Schizosaccharomyces pombe: one gene and its partners. The main gene of each other region encodes a partner of the protein of the gene in region 2 in a complex. Each region holds a gene or a part of one and is shown on either strand. Other genes may lie near its edges.

Region 1 (5,841 bases), 2.7 Mb from region 2:
AGATTTAGTAAACATGGGGAGAACACCGGGGGCAGCTTCAATTAACGTGACATGGATGTCTTTTTGAAGCTCGGGAAACATATCCTTAACGTCGTTATCAATGAAATCTTGCATCTCAGCTGCAAATTCCATTCCAGTAGGGCCACCACCAACAACAGTGATGTGTAAGAGACGAGCCCGTTCCTCGGGAGAAAGATCTTTATTGAATCGAACTTGTTCCAAGATTTCAAAGATGCGGTTAAACACCTTCTTGGCATCTCCCGCTTCTTTCAGAAAACAGCCATGGTCGCGGACACCCTGGATACCAAATGTTTGATTACCAGCTCCAATAGCAAAAACAAGCGTATCATACGGAATAACCGCTTCCTTTCCCTCGTTAGCTTCGGTCGTACCACGAATGGTAACTTTCTTAGCCGATGTGTCGATGGCAGTGCATTCAGCTTGGTGAATGTTGGAGGGATCAATTTTTCCTTTGAACAAAGCCACAATGGGCTCAGTAATACTTGGAAGTCTCAAAGTACCCACGGTACATGAAGGAAGCATAGGGGTGAATAAAAAATGGTCCCTAGGGCTCACGAGGGTAATGTTGTACAAGGACGGGTCCAAATTTTTGATTGCCGCGACTGCACCCCATCCAGAACCCAAAACAACTATGTTCTTTTTCGGAACACCAGATTTTCCTTTTGGCGAACTGTTGTTCAGTCTTCGTAAGGATTGGAAGAGGGCTACGGCACCCAACATGGACAAAGAAGAAGTAACTTCCGCCATTTCAAGTGCTCGAGAGAAAAATGATTTGTTACGGGGTGTAGGAACATTCCCACTGTTCTTTACAGCACAGGATACATGAAATGAACGAACCATCGTTTTTGAATATGGCACTGTACGAGACAGGCGAACCACAGACTGTAGTCTAGCTTTTGAGACCGACATTTTTTAAGAAAAAAGAAGTAAACAAATTTCCCCTTAAATAGGACTAAGTGATAAGTGGTAGGGAGGCGTGAGTAAAAAAATGTATGAGATAATGACAAATGTTAAAGAGCAAGCAAACTAAAGAGATAAACCCATTCAAAATTGAGCTATTTTACGATATTAATAGACAGTAATAGAAAGAGAGAACGACAACCTTGAGTCCTCTCCTAAATACACAGTGAATTACTATAACTAGCAGAAATAAGCCTTTAGAACTGCGAAAAAAAGGTATCCAATAATAGTTTTACTAGAAAAAATTGTAGTGTATTCTAAAATACCTTCTACTTTACAGAAAACGAGTTTTTCTGCTTATTTTTTTTTTAAGAAGAGATGGGGGAGTGTTGAATGTGGACGAAAGGGCTGCATAGCTGAACATTTTGTATGTAAACAATTAAGGTCTACGAAGCGCCCTAATTCCGTCATCACGGTTATTCATATCAACTTGATTGGACTCGGCAATCAAGTGTGCTGTGAGTGGGGAAAAATAACGCGGAATAAGGTTATCCATAAAAAGTATTACGTGGTAAGAAAAGAATTGCTAAATGTTAGCAACGCACTGTGTTATCACATTTAATGTTACATTGGTAGTGTATGTTATTTGTCCTAAAAAAAGTGATATGGGTGACAAATGCTATAAATTTTGTGGCATGAAGGGTGTAACTCATCGTTGAATCAGCTTATAACTGGACTGAGAACCGGGTCAATTGATCTCTATTCATAAATTGTAGCTAATAGTACCTTCAATCAAAAGTATTTAACTAAATTTATAACCGTCATATTTGGCGAACACATAAAAAAAAGGACATGTGAAAAAATATTAATACCTGCTGTAGTATAATATTACTACATTAGATTACTTTTTAGGAAAAGTTGTGCAACAGTAATTTTTTAGTGTATGGCAAATTCCCAGTTTATGAAGGCAATGCTTTGTCCTGGGTATGAATGCCTTTTATTCACTTTTCTACCTATTTTACCTTCAATGATTTCCTAAACTTAAAATTCAGTAGTATATAAGACAGCTAATGTGTGCGACCTTCCTATGTGTTTTCAAATCGTTTCTCTTAGTTAACAGCTTGATACGTTAGATAGACTCAATATGTATAGAGTAAGTGAGTGAGTGGCAAAATTAAAAAAAAAAGTCATGAGTGTATATACCCAAGGCCTTGTACTGAACGATTGTCTTATGACAGATCTTCTTTTATGATTTAACCCAAATGTATCAGCATACATTGAAGTATTGAAAGAACACATTAATTGCTAGTGAATTGAAAGAATGACAGTAAACCTTCTAATGTAGTAGGATTGTTTAGGTTCTGGTTTCTCAATTAGTAATAAACTAAAATAAATTAAAAATAACCCAATGTATATCGCCCAAGTAATATAAAATCTAAGTATAAAAATGAACAGCCAAAGATATTGTTCAAAGGTATAGTCGTTTAACAGGTACAATGGTAAATACGAAACGAAGGTCCTTGAGATGGACTTTTTACATGCACTTTATTGATTTTCTTATGCAACCACATCCATCTCAACATCCTCTTTGGGGTTCTTTTCATTTTCATGACCATCGCTCTCGTTGTACGTTTCAAAAAGCAATTCTTTCATTTTCTTAGAAACTTCCTCGGCATGCAATGGTGCTGTCTCCAGAACACGGAAAAAATCTTCTTCTGGAATGGGGCCAGCTGTTTCGAGAAAAATTAATTTGGCTGGTTCTGAGGAAATTGAATAACAAATAGTAATAATAGACTCCAATTTGTTAATTGTCCCATCGACATCAGGTTCATCTTGAGTTATTTTGTTCTTCCAGTGACAATTTATTGCACAGGGAATATATTTTAAAGAGATACCTGCGTCCAATAAAGCAAGTACCGCACCATTGATTACGGCAGCCAATGTATCTGTGCCATCTTCCTCTATTATCTGAATTGACACTTGTATAAGTGTTCTTGGATATGTGTTTAGAAATATTGCATCTTCTAGGATACCAACAATTCTGCTAGAAATCATCTTTTCCAAAGTCTCAGCGACACCACTCACAGGTTGAACCAAAACTTCAACGGTGGCCTTGTTAAGCCTTTCGTCCCTGATTTTTACATCAATAGGACCATTGACACCACAAATAACCCTAGCAGAACCTACAATGATGTTAGCATAAAGAAAATTCATTTTTTTTTAATTGGCATTTGCTTGGCTAATATACCGTGGATAATAGCATTACCTTGTTTCCATTCGCTCGAGCCATCAGACCTTGAGAGGATACCTATACGGTTCATTTCAGCTTCTATAATGCAACAAAGTTGCTTGCTTGCAGAGACAGAAGAAACGTTTCTACTTCCTTTGCACAAGTAGGAAATAAGCTAGCTTACACCTCGTTATTCGAAAACAGAATGAGAGCAGAAAAAAATGTATCAATAGTTTGGTGACAATGGGAGTTGTATTAATAAGGGTTTGTAATTAAATTCTTCCAATTTTTACTTTACTAAAGCTGAATGATAGGAGAAACTGGAATGATCTGTAACAGCCCAACCACTAAAAAATTAGAAATTACTCATAGCCATCTTTCAAAATATTTTTTTAAAAATAATACATCATGATATATAATCTCATTATAAAGGAATCACCTTTGTATTAAGGAGAATGAATCCAGGATTGTTTTTTCATTTCTGAAAGTCTACTCAAGCAACGCGTGAAGGTAAATACCTCTTCAATCCCACCAAATGCTCCATGATAGTGAGATTCAATTTTCCCCTTGGCAGCAGGATCAGCCGTAGAGGAAAGTACTTCAGAAGGTGCTGTCGGATATATTTCTTGAACTGGAACTTCAGATGATAAGATGAGTTTTCCATGGGTGTCATAAAGGGCATCAATAAATGTAATGAACCTATGGATAAGGTCTTTCGACTCGATACTCAATTTGGGAATGTCTGAAACGATGAAAACATGGTAACGGCTTGCCAATGAAAGATAGTCGGCAGCGCTTTTCGGTTCTCCACATAATTGTTCAAAGGTGAACCATGCAACGTTGCCACTTGCTTTTGGAACGATTATCTTTCTCCCAAATACTTCAACTTCGTCTTGGTGAGCAGGATCTTTCTCATCAGCGTAGCAAAGAAACCAATTTTCCAAGGCTTTCTTAACTTCTGGGCTATTAGCAGGATAAAGATATGTATCTTCTGTTTTAGATTTTAGGCGTCGGTAATCGTTTGGACTGTCCAAACAAATTACTTGAAGACGATGTTCCAAAAGTTTAATGCAAGGAATGAAGCTCTCTCTTTGTATTCCATTTTTATACAAATCAGAAGGAGCCCTATTAGAAGTAATAAAGATAACAACACCATACTTCATAAGGGCCTCAAAGAGTCTGCGTAGTAAAAGAGCGTCCGCGACATCGGTTACCTGTAATTCGTCAAAACATAGCACTGTTGTTTCTTTTGCTATTCCGGATGCAATATGATCTATAAAATCAATCTCAAACCCATAACGATCTTGCAAATCATGTGAAGTGCGATGAACTTGCATCATAAATGCATGGAAATGAATGCGCTGAGAACGAGTAACATTGGGTGGTAAGTTGTGATAAAATAGATCCATCAAAGCGGTTTTACCACAGCCCACATCACCATATAGATATATACCTTTAGGCATACCCGGTACAGGTAAAGAAGAAGTTAGAGTGGGAGACTTCTTCCTAGAAAACATTTTCTTTAAGGGGGATATCCAAGATAGGATTGATCCCTTTTCAGCTGGCATACTATCTTGCGTTATTGGAGGTTGTGTATACGATTCCAATTCGGTATACAAACGGTTGATTGCTTTAACCGCTGTTTCTTGATACGGGTCACGTTTCCATACGCCGTCATTAACTTTCTTGTTGTATACTTCAATAGGTGTATTATGAAATGTGGTAAAGCGAACTACCCTGCAAACTCCAATGCTTCCTATAGTATCAACAAAAGCAAAACAAGGAGCTGAAACACGAAGCACTTGCAGCATGATGATATGACCAAATTAAATACAAACTTTTGAACAAAAATAATGTTTCGTAAGCTAACTAAAGTAAAGAAAAAAAGTGGTTATTGATCAATTAGTGAATTCATTCAGGAATGATAAAGTGAGAGTGGATATAAAGCTGTAGAACGATTGTAGATGAAAAGCAAAAGATTAGAAAGAAAATATGTCAACTACAAGACGTACTTAGTGATTAAAGACATATGTTTTTAAGTGAATAAATATAAATCGTTGGACAGATGCATGATTATTCTTGCCTCTGAATAGCGTTCGGCAGTGCAGTTTGCTTTTATTATAGTGAATTGCGATGATTTCGGTATATGCGTTTGCGTATTGTCTTAATCATGAGCAAATGTTAATCTGAAACTAGTAAGTCAAGCCTATTTCGTTGGTAAATAGAAACCTGTTCTTAATAAAAAAATTTCTTGTTTAAAAAATTTTAAATTTAATGGAACTAAGTATAAGCAACTATACTTCCATACGATCCCAGATAGGTGGAGTTATTCTGTATATTAGTAAAAAAGTTAATCGCATGGAATTTCAATAATACATTGGAACTCATGTTATTAAAGTATTATTTATTTCTTTTCCATTTTTTGTATATTCAACAAACAATGGCAACTTTATTTTTTGTACTCAATTAAAAAGTACGAGAATAATATTAATTTGGTCAATATCAAGTATTGCTTCAGTTTGTTAATAAGTTTGACAATTGATGTTAAGTGATTTTAAGGAAATCCCGAAGAAAGAAGTTCGTATCGATAGTGAATTTAATTGGTGCTGTAGAGTATGTTTAGTTGAATTCCGTTCATTAGTTTCATAACTATTATTCCAGCAAAACGCAGATATTTATAAAACGCCTAT
Region 2 (5,056 bases):
CGCATCAAGAAAATGTAGCAATTACCACACGTTGACACCTCCAAGAGTACTGGCACAGGGAGAAGACCAAATCTGAGAACTTAAAGCAGAAGTTGAGTTATGAGATTTAGATAGAGAGGAAGACAATCCAGACATATCATGATTGTTCCCGCTGTATTCTTGCTTGAAGTCCAAACTTAGTGTTGGTAGTGAAGAAGAAACAGAAGAGCCAGTGGACTGCGGAGAATCAGCAACAGCAGAAACATTGTTCACTGCTGTAACTGGTGTGGCATTTCCATTGGCAGCCGGTGGATTTGGAGGCCTCAGCGTTTGGTCAGTAGGAGTAGAACTATTACTGAATGCGATCTCTTTACGAGAAGGACGCGTACCGATCGGAGCTATCGATGAAGGTCGACGACGAGAAGGAATCGATAAAGATTCCATGTTAGCGGACTCTATGAAAGAAGAGGGCGTAAAGCTATTTGAAGCAGATTCAAACAACGAAAACCCAGCCGATTTTGAAGAAGAACGCAATGAAGAGGAGAGATTAGAAAGCCCACCAGATGGTAAACTAGCAGCACCGACAGTATTGTAAGAAAAGGAGGAGCGTGTCGGAGTAGCAAGATCATAATACGAAGAACGTGAATGATGAGCACTACTAGAGAGCAAAGACGTTGTGGATCTCCTGGGATGTAGTAATGAGGTACTAGCTTGTGAACCGAAATTGGAAGTAGCATTACCTGGTAACGAGCTTCCGAGCATGCTGGAACCAAAACCACTAGAACCGACCAAACCACTTGCCGGTTCAGCAGGAGACGTACCCAGCAGATTAGAGCCTGCAGTAGGGGTGCTCGAAAGTGTGCTTTTTAACAAACCAGAGCTGGGAACATGACTCATTGAAACACTGCCATTTAAGGCTTCGCTCAATGCACTCGTCGAAAAGGGGTTGTTCACTGAGGAGGCAAAACTATTTTTTCGACGAGGTGCAATCATACCATTTTTTACGAGATTGTCATAAGCCGATTCAACTTCTTCAAATTGACTTACAAAAGCCAAATCGTCCTCTGGCTGAACAACATTTGTTGGACCGAGCCCATCCCAATAAGAAGCGGCCGAAAACCAACTGTTGACTCCATCTACAAACGACATAAAGACAACTCGTTGTTTTTTTGAAATTGGCCTATTTTCAAAGTTTTAACCAAACGTTGTTTACTTCAAAAAAAATTTCCTGCCAATTGTGGTTTGCTTTGGATAGGTTCCTTTCACAGCGTTTACCAAGGAGCCGCTCCCAATATTTCGCTAACTTTTGTAATCGATAGTCTATTGTAACTGGGTTGCCATCCGGCAACTGTTCGTTCTTCGCTTCTCTATGACTTTTTTACTATTTCCGTAGTATTTGTTATCACTTAATCTCCACATTTTTTCTACATCGGACTTCAAGTTACAGTACCACGTGCCGCCCTTATTTTAAACGAACACACCATCAGCTTTGCATAGACTGTTAAATAGCTTATACAATTTAGTAAAACTGTGTAACTTAGATATATTGGAAAACAGTATCATAACAGTAAAGATTTAACCTCAGCAAATACTTGCCACTTCCAGTTTAAAGTGTAGGATGAACTTGTAAGCATGATAAAGTTGAAACAATATTCTTGTTGCGTAGAACCTTTTTCCTAGATCAACGCAAAAACAAAATAACTTAAAAAAAAAGAAAAGAAATTCGGATGCAGAAAAACTATATGTGCAAATACGGCGGGAGTTACACAAATAATTAAACATATACATCAGCCAAAAGATGTTTACTGGAACATTAATTGTTGAGACTTACGCAGATTGACCTGTTCACAGATGCGTGTTTTTTTTCAAAATACTCATACTTATTAAATTTCCCACCAATTTCTTAATCCTCAAATTCTATCGAGATTTCTGGGTTAGAGTGTGAAACTTTTTCAATATCAATACTAGGTTGTAACGACATCTCTTTGAATAATGATTGACAAGCTCTTGTACCATTGCCCAATGCAAGAACGTCTGCTTTTTGCGACGAGGAAAACGAACCGTTTGTGACTCGAGCAAGTCCGTAAAGAATCTTCCAATCCATAGGCTTTACACGTGATTGCATGCTTTTGCTTCCCTGTTCTTGTCGAAAAGTATCAACCGAATCAAAAAGGCGTTCCAATTTTATCTGTAACCTTTCAACCAAGTATCGGAGGCCATCCGGATTAGGCAGTTCCTCAGAAGAAGCCATTCTACCCAACTTGTGTAATTTTTTTGATGCTAAACGCACAGCCAAATATGCAGCCTCTTGGCGAAACCTCGAAGCCGAGGTTCCATCAAAAAATGATTCATCGGGGATGGAATGAATTGTAGGCCATACTGCACGTAGACGTGGTGGAATCCTTCGTTCATAACCGTCCAAATCGCTTTGCAATTCATTTCGACGAGTTATACCAGCTTTATAACTGCAATAAAGTTGAATACACAAATTTTTCATCTCAGATCTTCTCAGTTCGGAAACAATTTCTCGATACTCTATTAGCTGTGCGTATAGAGCATCTTGCTTTCGCATTTCTTTTTCATCCGAAGTATCCTGAGAAGAGGAAATATCCTCTTGACTTCCTTGCTGCTCTAATTCTTCCTCAGAATCATTCATAGCATCATTTCCTCAGAAGGTTTAGCATCCGGCTGTTGTGTTCGTAGGCTAGAGGTTAAGGAAAGGTCATTGTACCTGGCGCGATATTAAGTGTGTTTACTGACTTTTTTTTTTAATTTCCTTTAACTATAATCTAATAGAAAAAAACTTTTCCTTTTTTTTATTAATATAAGACTTTTGCTTCGTCTAACAACCGATAAACTAAGAGTGTGCAAATTTTGAAATATAAACATGCACCCAAATAACTTACTTTAATTTAAGAGCTATATATTATGCTACTTACCAAATTCCGTATGTATTCTGCTGACTTTTAATTGTTTAATTATGCCTTATTTTCTTTAACCATGGATCATTGTAAATTTTGTTATTTTACCTTTTTTTAAAAAAAAAAAAATCAGTAGAAAAGGCCTTAAATAAATTTTTTTCGAATTAGCATTTTTAAATGTTAATTATGTGATCTCTTTTTTCAAAATCGTTTAAACGAATTGGGATTTTGTAGCTAAAATTCAAATGAATTATCAATCCTTAATTGAAATTTGCACCGAATATACCTTCAATAAATTAAAAAAAAACCAAGGAATTTAAACATTTTAAGGACCTCACAAACCTTTTATTTACCATATAAGTTTTTCATACTTTACTTCGTACACCTATTTCATCCCTCTACTCCATTTCATAATTTCAACCTGTAGACAAAATTCAGCACATATATCGAATTCTTGTGATTCATATTCATTTTATATATTTTTCAGTATCGTTCTTCAGTTATTTGGTCTTTCTACGTTACTATATCATTTAGCTTCGTTATTGAAACACTACATTCTTTTCACATCATGAAAACTGTTTCGGGGGTAAAACAGCTTTCATTTACACCTTCGTAAGTTGCTCTTTGATTTCTTATTCTATCTTTTTTAGTGCTCTGTTTCCTTTTCACTTTGTTTTTCTTTGTTACAGTACTAACATTTTACTGGATAGAATTTTTAAGAAAATCACGCCTGAGCAGTATTTATCACATCTTCTTAATCAGGATGTTCGATCAGATGGGCGGTCTGTATCAGAATTCAGAGAAATTGTAATTAATGATAATTGCATATCTACTGCTAATGGTAGTGCTATCATTCGAGCTGGCGAAAATGTCTTTGTGTGTGGAATAAAAGCAGAAATTGCTGAACCTTTTGAAAACTCTCCCAATGAAGGTTGGATTGTTCCCAATCTTGAATTATCACCTCTTTGCAGTAGCAAATTTAAACCTGGCCCTCCTTCTGACTTGGCGCAAGTTGTCTCGCAGGAATTGCATCAGACTTTGCAACAGTATGTATCAAATTATTGGAATTTTTCTAATTTTCTACCATACGTTTCATTTATTGTTAAACTATCATTTAGAATATTTAGTTACTTTTACTAACAACTTATACAGATCTAACTTGATTAATTTACAGTCCCTATGCATTTTTGAAAAAAAAGCAGCCTGGGTATTGTATGCTGATATTATTTGTTTAAATTATGATGGAAGTGCCTTCGATTATGCATGGGCAGCTTTGTTTGCCGCTTTAAAAACTGTTAAATTACCAACTGCTGTTTGGGATGAAGATTTAGAGAGGGTTATCTGTGCTTCTACCCTTACAAGACCAGTTCAATTAAGTACTGAAGTTCGTTCTTTCTCATGGTCAGTATTTGACGACAAGTTGTTAGCCGACCCTACAGACGAGGAGGAGGACCTTTCAACTGAATTTTTGACAATTATGCTTAATAGCTCCAAAAATATTGTTAAGATAATAAAGCTTGGAGGCACTCACATTCAACCCCTTTTATTAAAAAAGTGTATTGAGGTTGCAAGGTCTAAGTTCTAACAAATTTTTGGGTTATCAAGGTGTATAAATTTTGAAAGTTTGAAAATATTCAAGTTCGTTTTTAATGCTTGAAACGTAATATTGATCTTGCTGTAATATAAAATACTATAGTCATAAAGCTAATTGATTTTCAAATGCTGTAGGAAATTTTTTTTATATAACTTATGAACCCTGTTTATCTCCTTTAACCAGTAAACTTTTTTTTGTCAAACTCTAAAACACAAGCATAGGAAGAATGATCAACTCAATACCCGATTTATTTACCAAAATCACGTTGAATCTTTTCTTTGCTGCCTTCACCAACATATCCTTTGGCGATGCCACTCTGTCCTTCGTATAATTTACTAGGACCTTCTCCTTCATCTACACTGTCAAGTCCCGACCAAGATTTTGACTGAAGAAACGCCGCTGCTGGAGAGTAAACCCCGTTCACTGCAAGACTTCTCATGCCACGCTTTTCTATAGAGGCTGAGGACGAGTCATTATTCTTTGCATCGGCAGTCTCAAGAGTAACGTCTAAATGTCGCATCGGGGTTGAATTCACAAACTTTCCAGTAATCAGACTAAAGTG
Region 3 (5,051 bases), 560 kb from region 2:
TTTCCAAAAAGTTAGGAGAACTAAGGTACATATTAACGTTATCGATAGGCTGTTTAAACAAGCCTTCAAAGAGATCGCGAGCCCATGCAATGGTGTGCTCAATACGGTTAGGAAAGTTCTTCAAAGTACAGATAGGAAATGACTTTTCAGGAGGGTCTTGGGATGATCCGTACGACTCTGTAAGATGAGGTACAACAACTTGCGTATTACCCTTAGTACCCAAAGTACCAGACTCTAATAATGGCTTTTCGAAAAATACACAACGGCGGTCAACATACATTCGAGCTTCGACGTTATCCAAAGCATTCGTGACTAAAGATAACTTTTCAAAGAATTCATCGCCAAATATGCCTTCGCTTTCTGGTCCAACACGTTCTTGATATGAAGTTATTTTACCAGTCAATGAAGGATTCATGATTGAAACAGCGGTAGAAGCACATTCGGACTTCAGCTTTCCGACGTCACGAGGACGAAAGAGAAATTGACGATTCAAATTCGATTTTTCAATGGAGTCCATATCAGTAACAGAAATATGACCACTTTCACCAGTAGCGACACCCATCATAGCCCAGTTTTTCAGCATTTCACATCCAATAGCGCCAGCACCAACCAAAAACGTACTCAAAGAAGCTATTTTCTCTTGAAATTCCGAACCGAAAACAGCGATTTGCCCATCGTATCGACAGCCACGAGGTTTACAAGTTTCTTCACTGATCGTTACAGAAGATGGCAAGCTTTCTAAGGAGTCAAAATAGAAGTATTGCTTCAATGGGTAAAATTTACTGGTGGTAGCTTTCAACACTTCCTGTGCTACAGCACCGCCCAAAAACGCGGACATTGCAACCAAATCACCTCTTGCCTGGTATGAAATTTCCTTAATTAGTTTTTCATCGAGTTCAACATCAAATTGAAGTGTGCTTGCAATTTTCTTACAAAATTCGAAAAATTCAGCTGCATCAATGTCGTTACGGGGTCGAGGCAATGAACCTTCATGCGCATCGGCAAATGCTGAAAGGGCCTGGAAAGCAATGTGGTATTGTGGAGGTCTCATCATTTTACCAAAGTCAGGATATACATATTCAGGGTCCTTGAGCGATTCGCGGAGAGATTTGAAAGATATTTTGGTTGGAACTTTAACTTGGGTAAAGACACCATTGTAACCGGCACTTCCTAAATCTTTAACAGATCCGATAGAAAAGGTATATGGACCTTTCACTTCAACTTTACGAGGAGTGCCATCATTTAAACCAGGCATACCCTTCACTTCGGTAAATTTAACAAAATCACCATTCTCCAATCCATGACGAGTTTCTTCAAGCATGGTAACAACTCCATCATCAGTAATTGAAGCGATCATTCCAGTTAAAGGTTCATTTCCATCAGTGTCAGTACAAATAAAGTTCTCACCAAAATCACAAAATATCGATCCAAAAAGACCACGGCTGTCAGCAGCAATATAAGCAATATGGTTTTTGTGTGTAAAGTCGTTAATTTCTAGCTGTTTCGTAAGAGAAGTTTCTGTGACAACCACGCATTTGAAGTTTTTTAGATACTCTGTTGAAAGTTCATCAACTACAGAAACAGGCACATATTGATTAAGCTCTGCTAACTTTGATACCGTTACTTTTGCACGAGGAACACCAATATCGTCTTCTGTAAGAAAATATTGTGATGATAAGTCCTCAATGCGTGTAGGTTGAGGATCGTAAAGAGTAACGCTTTTTACACCTGCTAGACAAACGTTCTTTGCTATTTCAACGCCTAAACCTTTGCAGCCAATGATTAAGACATTCGACTGACTCATTTGTTTCATAGCCTCATGGCCTAAAACATAACTTTAGATAAATTAGCAAGCGCTCAGTACAAGAAAGAATATAAAAACATAAAGCTAAACCAAATCAACACCGGTAATAATGACTCTTCATGTTTCTAATAAAACTTACAGTTGTCTAGAGTAAAGCCCTTCATCGATAGTATTTTGATCCGTTTGATCAATGTTCATGTTATTCTTTTGCAATGTTAGTAAGAAGCGAAAAATACTTGAATCATTTAAACAAATTACATACACTCATTACGAAACGTGGTGTTGGCAGAGGAGAGTCATACGTAGGCTATAATATAGTGTTTTTATATGTTCAAATAGCGAGCTCTTTCGTTACACATGCTTAACAATTTATTACTCATTAAATTTAAGAGCGCGCACTTGAAGTATGCTGGCTGGATAAAAAAAAATTTTGCACCATTATTCTAAAAGCATTTTTATTTTCCAGCTTACTGATTGAAACGCTTAGTCATTACAAAAATCTTTTAGATGCGATAAAATTGCTTTCTATATGTCATATATACACCGAATCAAACAATATCGTTATATATATTAAGGCATGCAAACGCGTCATCCCAAAACGCGAAGCCACCACTGAAAATCCAGGCTGCTTCTGTATTGTTTTCTTAACGGTACATCAAGGTTAAAACAAATACTCTATAAATCGATGTCAGATAGAAAGAGAGTGTATGGACCGAGTGTATCCGTTCCCCCTTATTTTGAAGAGCCAGAACAACCTGTTTTCACGCGGACTCGTGATGTTGACAGATGTCGAAAAATATGTAAGATACCGATTATTAACATTTTCACTGACAATTAGATCTAAAATTAGGGTGGGCTACTAAAGCTGTCGGTAGCAGTTATTTTGAATCAGAAAAAATAAAAATTGCATGCACAGTCTCTGGTCCTCGACCTAGTAAGACTTTTGCTTTTCGTTCATCAGCAAAGTTGAATTGTGAATTTAGATTATCCCCATTTTCTACTTCTGTTCGTCAGGGACATGTACAAACCGTCGAAGAAAAAAGCTATTCCCAAATGATTGAAGCAGCAATTTCTCCAAGTATATTACTGCATTTGTATCCGAAAAGTTCTATAGACGTTTATATTCAAGTGATTGAAAGTGACGGTGCATTAGCAACATTGGCTGCTGCTATAAGTTGCGCATCAAGTGCAATAGCTGATGCTAACATCGACTGCATAGATTTGGTGACGGGCTCGAGTGTATTATTTAATCCCAATACGGATGAATATTGGATTGATCCTGATTATGTGGATGAGCGTGCAAGGGCTGCTAAAGGTTCTGTAGTTATGGGGTACATGGCTTCTCTTGGTCACGTTACTCAAGTATGGGAAAGAGGCACTTGCTCTCCGAGTCGCCTTTCGTTTTTGACGGAAAAATGCATAAAGAATGCCAAAGATACTCGGTTAGTAATTAATCATGCACTGCTACTAGAGAAGTCGAAATCCGAAGATCCTTAGATATTGGAATTCTACCTCTATAATAATATTCTGTTGATGGCTAATATTTATACCAATTTTACAAATTACATAATCAAATTTATTTCTTTTTAAAATTCTCTTCTATTAGTTGGCAATGCTCAAGTTTTGCCTTTTTTTCCTTAACACACATTTGAAGGGAGACGCTATCTTTTCTCGACAAACAAGCAGATGACTTCCCTAAGTAGATTTTCTTCTTTGAAATCAGCTTGGCCATCCGCAAGTTACGTTTGTTATGAAAAATACGAGTAAATATTAAATTAAAGATCTTAGTTTTTATCACTCGCGAATATATTCAGTAGCCAAACGATTAACTCTTTCCAATTTTTTCCAGTCTATTTATCGATTCCAATAGAACAAAACAAATGCTGAGATTTTATTAATACATATATTTGATACTAATTTATCAAGCTGCATTGAGACGAAAGCATCTTGGTAGTACTAGAATCATTGTTACTCACATACTGTTACCTGCTTCTTATAACCTCCAAATCAGCGAAATTCCGCGTCTTCATCATAGCCAAACTTATGCTCAATTGCCTCGTTTGTAAATTAAAATATATTTAACAATAAGAAGGACGATAAAGAGGGGATTCTTCTATACAATAAAATTGCTTTCATTTAAATTAGGTCATTGATGATTATTAGTTGTTGCTTTTAAAAATTTGATATATTCACGGACAATAGGATAGAACCATTTAAAACGGAAGCTAAGAATCTTTCCAAAAGTCCAAAATAATTTGATTTTATTGAAAATTACTCGAAAACTGCTGAATTTGCGAATTTGCCTTTATTGCAGCAAATTACCGTATTTGAATACTACACTAGCTTAAAATTATTGAGTTCTTTTTTAGTTTTGAAATAAAACTATAAAAAATCAAAATGTCGAGCCCAAGGCGCAGAATTGAGACGGACGTTATGAAGCTGCTGATGAGTGATTACGAGGTAACTCTTGTCAATGATAATATGCAAGAATTTTACGTTAGGTTCCATGGACCGTCTGAAACCCCTTACTCAGGTGGAATATGGAAAGTTCATGTTGAACTGCCAAGTGAGTATCCTTGGAAATCTCCAAGTATTGGATTTGTAAATCGTATATTTCATCCCAATATCGATGAGCTTAGTGGAAGTGTTTGCTTGGACGTGATAAATCAAACTTGGTCTCCAATGTTTGATATGATTAATATTTTTGAGGTTTTTCTTCCACAGCTACTCCGTTATCCTAATGCGTCGGACCCTCTAAATGGAGAGGCAGCAGCTCTATTATTGCGAGAGCCGAATACCTACTATGCCAAGGTTCGAGATTATATCGCTCGGTATGCTAATAAAGAAGACGCTGATATAACTTTGAACGACTCTTCAGATGATGACACCATGTCTTCTATTGACACTGAATCTGGCGATGAAATTGCTGGTCCAATGGACTCTGATTTTTAAATTTCGTTACGTTGCTTTGTTTGATATACATTGATTCTTTTTTGAATTCTCTTTATGGATACTGATTGTGGCATTCAATAAACCGATGGATAGCTAAATCTGTTACACTTTTTTTTCTATTGATGCATTGAATGATTCTTTTTGCATGCTGTCGCTTGCAAAACCCGTTTGAATTTGCTTTCAATCAGTAGTCGTGACAACGATATTTAATAGGTTTATTTTCTTGAAGCTTCAAGTTACTGCAGCATAATTTACGACTATAACTCCATGATGCATAGTTAATGAGAACTAATAT
Region 4 (4,711 bases), on a different chromosome or scaffold from region 2:
CCCACTTACGTTACTCCCATGGGTAAGACTGCGATCAATGAGTCATCCCCCTACTTTGATGGCGTCTACATTGGCTCCTTGACCGAGCCTTCCATCAAAGAACGTGCCGAATCTACTGACTTGCTTCTCATCATCGGTGGTCTTCGCTCCGATTTCAACTCGGGCACCTTTACTTATGCTACCCCTGCATCTCAAACCATCGAATTTCATTCCGACTACACCAAAATTCGTTCTGGCGTTTACGAGGGCATTTCGATGAAACATTTGTTGCCCAAGCTCACCGCTGCCATTGACAAAAAGTCCGTTCAGGCAAAGGCCCGTCCTGTTCACTTTGAGCCACCAAAGGCTGTTGCTGCTGAGGGTTACGCCGAAGGAACCATTACCCACAAATGGTTCTGGCCTACGTTTGCCTCTTTTCTTCGTGAGTCCGATGTAGTGACTACCGAGACAGGTACCTCCAACTTTGGTATTTTGGATTGCATTTTCCCCAAAGGCTGCCAAAATCTCTCACAGGTATTATGGGGCTCAATTGGTTGGTCGGTTGGCGCTATGTTTGGTGCTACGTTGGGCATCAAGGATTCCGATGCTCCTCACCGTCGTTCCATATTGATTGTTGGTGACGGTTCCCTTCATTTAACTGTTCAGGAAATTTCTGCTACCATCCGTAACGGTCTCACCCCTATCATATTTGTAATTAACAATAAGGGATATACAATTGAACGTCTCATTCACGGTCTTCACGCTGTTTACAACGACATCAACACTGAATGGGACTATCAAAACCTTCTTAAAGGCTATGGTGCCAAAAATTCTCGCTCCTATAACATTCATTCAGAAAAGGAGCTCCTCGATCTCTTTAAAGATGAGGAATTTGGAAAAGCTGATGTAATTCAGCTCGTTGAAGTTCATATGCCTGTCTTGGATGCTCCTCGTGTTTTGATTGAGCAAGCCAAACTTACCGCTTCTCTTAACAAGCAGTAAAAAATATGGCTATGGCTATATTATTATGATATGTTTTTGATTTTGAAATTTACAATATTTCTCAAATGATGCTTTTGTTAGGTTAGTTAATTTGCAACAGTCGTTTTTTTTTTCTACGTCAATCCATATTTCTTTCATAAAATGAATGAATATATTGAAGTTTATGCAGCGGTTGTTTTTTTGTTGGTAATTAGGATTCATTGAATGATTTATTTTTTTTTTCTTTTTGCATCCCCTTACTCCAAGGTAGACTTGTCCAGATAATTCCCTGTTAGTATAAACTCAATAACATAAAAAAAGGTCATTGAGACGACTGGTAATGAGTAGCAGCAATAGAATCACTAAATAATATAGTACCTTCAATTTGGTCTCTCGTCTATGTCTTTGGCATAGATGGTAGATACAAAGCATTCGCTACAACCAAATCTTCCTCATGGCTTACAGATACCATTACGGGAGAAAGCGGAAATCGGGGATCATGAATAACAACGGAAGGGTAGCCTATATTAATCATAACAAAGTCAGTAACTTTACAAACCTTTTATTTTTAAACATTGAACATGGAAAACAAATGACACACCTGTGGGAGTTCGAACATACTCCATCATAGACATGTAAACTCGAAAATTCGGTTGTAAAGCTTTGAAAACAGCTTCTTTGACGCACCATCTACATAGGAAAATAACCGTTAAAACTATGAAACGATCATAAATATAGACAAGCATACCTAACAGCAAGCCATTTAGCCTGTTCGCTTAAACGAGGCAGCGAGGAATTGCTTTTAATCAGGTTGTACTTTTTAATTTCATTTTCACACAGACATTTTTTTAAAAAGTTCTTTTCCCATTCAGGAGAGCGTTGAATTAATCTTGAGATTCTTGAAATTTTTAAAATGTCAATCCCTAAACCCATTTCGATTTTTGATTCTTTATAACATGAACAGGAAATATTAATGGTAATGCAAGAAGAAAAAAAGAAATCTATGGCTTCAATAATTTTGAACGCTTAATTAATAATATATTGTAAACTAAATTTCCGACACACTAAACGAGATATAAAAATCTTTATCCTTAAATAAAATGAAATAAATTTATCTAATTCATTATCGATTAGTGCCCCCAAAGACATCAAATCCAATTCGTTTCGTAGCGAATGCAGTAGCAGGAGTTTTTACTGTAACAAGTGTACTCTCTACTCACTCCCAGTTACAAAAGTGTTCAAAGGGAACCAAAAATTATATATTTGTAATCCTTTCAATCACGAAAAAAAAAATTTCATATGGTAAGAGATAGAATTTATCTCTAGATAATACGAGTACTAACCATATAGTCACACTTTGAGATTTTATCCCTTGAAGGTCTTCGAAATGGTAAGCCAATTCATTTATGGGAAATGAAAAAGAAACTTAAAATTTACATTCAAACATCTATGATTCTTATAAAATGTATTAATCTTTCTGTGTGCTAATATTTGTTGCAAGATGGTCGACGGTGGGATGAGATGAGAAACTTTCAGTGTCGTATTGGAATCGAGCCTTCGGAGAATGGGTCGGCGTTTATTGAATTGGGTAACACAAAGGTCTTGTGTATAGTCGATGGACCCTCGGAGCCTGTAATAAAGTCCAAAGCTAGAGCTGACAGAACATTTGTGAATGTCGAAATAAACATTGCTTCTTTCAGCACAATAGATGTGAAAAAGAGATTTAAATCGGATAGGAGAATTCAATTGCAATGTTTAGCTTTACAAAATACATTTGAGGAGATAATTCAAACAGAATTATATCCCAGAAGTCAAATTTCTGTCTACTTGCATGTTTTACAAGATGATGGTGCAGTAATGGCATCTTGTATCAACGCTACTACTCTTGCCTTAATAGATGCTGGTATACCAGTTAAAGATTTCGTTTGCTGTAGTACAGCTGGGATTGTTGAGTCTGATATGCTGTTGGATTTAAACTCACTAGAGGAGTCAGCTCTTTCATGGTTGACGGTTGCTGTTTTGGGGAACATAAAAAAGGTCGTATATATGCAGCTGGAAACTAGTATGCATTTGGATTATTTGGAGTCAGTAATGAATATGGCGATCGCTGGATCAGAACATATTTATAACACGATGCAAAGTGCGGTTCGACAAAGCGCTAAACCGGCACTTGCAAGTCTCAGCTAATGACAAAATTTTGGGGAAAAAAACTATTAAAAATAAATGAACGGGAAGATTAATTTTTATAATTATACATTGATAAGTCATCACAATTGCAACTTTACTTAGCTCTACGATATTCTGACAAAACGTATACAGCTTTACTCATTTTATTCCTAGTACAACGTTTTTGTCCTTATCCTTGGTATTTCTGTATAAGTATCAAAAAAATCACCTCGAATATCGTATATAATCTTTTAATGATTGCGTCCCTTTTTTGTCTAAAGGGGCTTATATTACAAAAAATATGGATTGTACTGTAGATATTATGCATCAAAAAAGGCTCATTAATTAGTTGAAGATTTTATGAATAAATTCGGTTATTCAGATCTCACTTATTATAATAAATTGATTATTTTTTGGGGGAGGCTTTCATAAACAACCGGGAATTTTTCATTCAACAGATATTACAGATTGATGTGGATTAAAAAGAAAATATATATATATATATATATTTTTTTAGATTTTTAGATATAAGAAACCTAAGGTTTATTATGAGAATCGTAAAACTGTTTTTCGAGATAAATGTTAAATTTGTTAATGTTAAAATATGAAAAACACAGTATTTTTATTTTATATATTTCTATAATGGTGCAAACTAACAGTAGCTCTTGTAGCTCAGTGGTAGAGCGCCTGTCTCGTAAACAGGAGGTCCAGTGTTCGAGTCACTGCCGGAGCAGTTTTTATATTTTTCGATCACAGATCGGCCTTTCTAATAAGCATTGAAAGCTACAAAATGAGTATACTAAGATACTTATTAATGCATATTCTTGTAAATAGGGTTTCTCACAATTCATCGAATATACATACTCAAATTCTGCCGTTACTAGTTGATTGCTGATTTCAAGGACATCTTGATTAATAAAATGGAAGAATCGCTGTAGGATCAACAGTTAATATTACCTTCGTTTTAAAAATGAGGAATCTCGTGCCGTTCAACCAAAGTAAAAATGAAACTTCGTCAAACTGCATGACTAAGTTTCCCCTTTCTGTTTTTGATGCTTTCATAGCACTGTCAAGAATACCGTTGCGCAAATATCTGGCAATTATATACATACCAGTTCATCGCGGCCTGATTTAAGTTTTGTACGTTTTATTGTTTTCAATTGTTTTTACTAGACAGCATACTGAAATATGCCTTCAACAGTTTTTAATTTTATCAGTTTGATTGAATACATCAGTTTCCCTAAATGCTTTCTATCTTTGCCTTCAAAAACTTATTGCTTATACATGTTATAAATATACTATTTAAACGTCTACGGCCATACCTAGGCGAAAACACCAGTTCCCGTCCGATCACTGCAGTTAAGCGTCTGAGGGCCTCGTTAGTACTATGGTTGGAGACAACATGGGAATCCGGGGTGCTGTAGGCTCATCTTTTTTTGTTGATGATTTGCTTCTTTTTATATTAACATATTTGGAAAATACTTGTAATTAATTTAAAGCGGCTTTTCTCATTCTAGGTACTAGATGAGTACTTTCGTTACAGCGCAATTCTTGTATTGACCAGGTACGAATCGGAATGGAGGAC

The links.
Region 1: rrp43 (region 2) and rrp46 share a complex: the UniProt entries of both Schizosaccharomyces pombe proteins name them as parts of the RNA exosome complex.
Region 3: rrp43 (region 2) and mtr3 share a complex: the UniProt entries of both Schizosaccharomyces pombe proteins name them as parts of the RNA exosome complex.
Region 4: rrp43 (region 2) and rrp41 share a complex: the UniProt entries of both Schizosaccharomyces pombe proteins name them as parts of the RNA exosome complex.

The regions. Positions count from the first base shown.
Region 1 is NC_003423.3:636,775-642,615, reverse strand, and holds rrp46 (exosome subunit Rrp46), read right to left. Parts: upstream 3,285-5,841; 5' UTR 3,243-3,284; coding exon 3,188-3,242; exon of another isoform or gene 3,105-3,187; coding exon 2,479-3,104; 3' UTR 1,273-2,478; downstream 1-1,272. Other genes in the region: ndi1 (NADH dehydrogenase), read right to left, coding at 1-930; AFG1 family ATPase, read right to left, coding at 3,598-4,962. UniProt on the Schizosaccharomyces pombe protein: Non-catalytic component of the RNA exosome complex which has 3'->5' exoribonuclease activity and participates in a multitude of cellular RNA processing and degradation events.
Region 2 is NC_003423.3:3,331,182-3,336,237, reverse strand, and holds rrp43 (exosome subunit Rrp43), read left to right. Parts: upstream 1-3,292; 5' UTR 3,293-3,468; coding exon 3,469-3,512; exon of another isoform or gene 3,513-3,610; coding exon 3,611-3,946; intron 3,947-4,052; coding exon 4,053-4,485; 3' UTR 4,486-4,556; downstream 4,557-5,056. Other genes in the region: protein rhs1, read right to left, coding at 22-1,128; RNA polymerase I upstream activation factor complex subunit Acr1, read right to left, coding at 1,883-2,635; dph2 (diphthamide biosynthesis protein), read right to left, coding at 4,742-5,056. UniProt on the Schizosaccharomyces pombe protein: Non-catalytic component of the RNA exosome complex which has 3'->5' exoribonuclease activity and participates in a multitude of cellular RNA processing and degradation events.
Region 3 is NC_003423.3:3,885,717-3,890,767, reverse strand, and holds mtr3 (exosome complex component mtr3), read left to right. Parts: upstream 1-2,450; 5' UTR 2,451-2,489; coding exon 2,490-2,604; exon of another isoform or gene 2,605-2,642; coding exon 2,643-3,301; 3' UTR 3,302-3,863; downstream 3,864-5,051. Other genes in the region: uba1 (ubiquitin-activating enzyme E1), read right to left, coding at 1-1,835, 1,944-2,008, 2,067-2,072; ubiquitin conjugating enzyme Ubc8, read left to right, coding at 4,202-4,756. UniProt on the Schizosaccharomyces pombe protein: Non-catalytic component of the RNA exosome complex which has 3'->5' exoribonuclease activity and participates in a multitude of cellular RNA processing and degradation events.
Region 4 is NC_003424.3:3,160,962-3,165,672, forward strand, and holds rrp41 (exosome 3'-5' phosphorolytic exoribonuclease Rrp41), read left to right. Parts: upstream 1-2,165; 5' UTR 2,166-2,259; coding exon 2,260-2,262; exon of another isoform or gene 2,263-2,310; coding exon 2,311-2,350; exon of another isoform or gene 2,351-2,461; coding exon 2,462-3,147; 3' UTR 3,148-3,393; downstream 3,394-4,711. Other genes in the region: pdc201 (pyruvate decarboxylase), read left to right, coding at 1-981; ppt2 (holo-[acyl-carrier-protein] synthase new8), read right to left, coding at 1,358-1,482, 1,562-1,650, 1,709-1,893. UniProt on the Schizosaccharomyces pombe protein: Non-catalytic component of the RNA exosome complex which has 3'->5' exoribonuclease activity and participates in a multitude of cellular RNA processing and degradation events.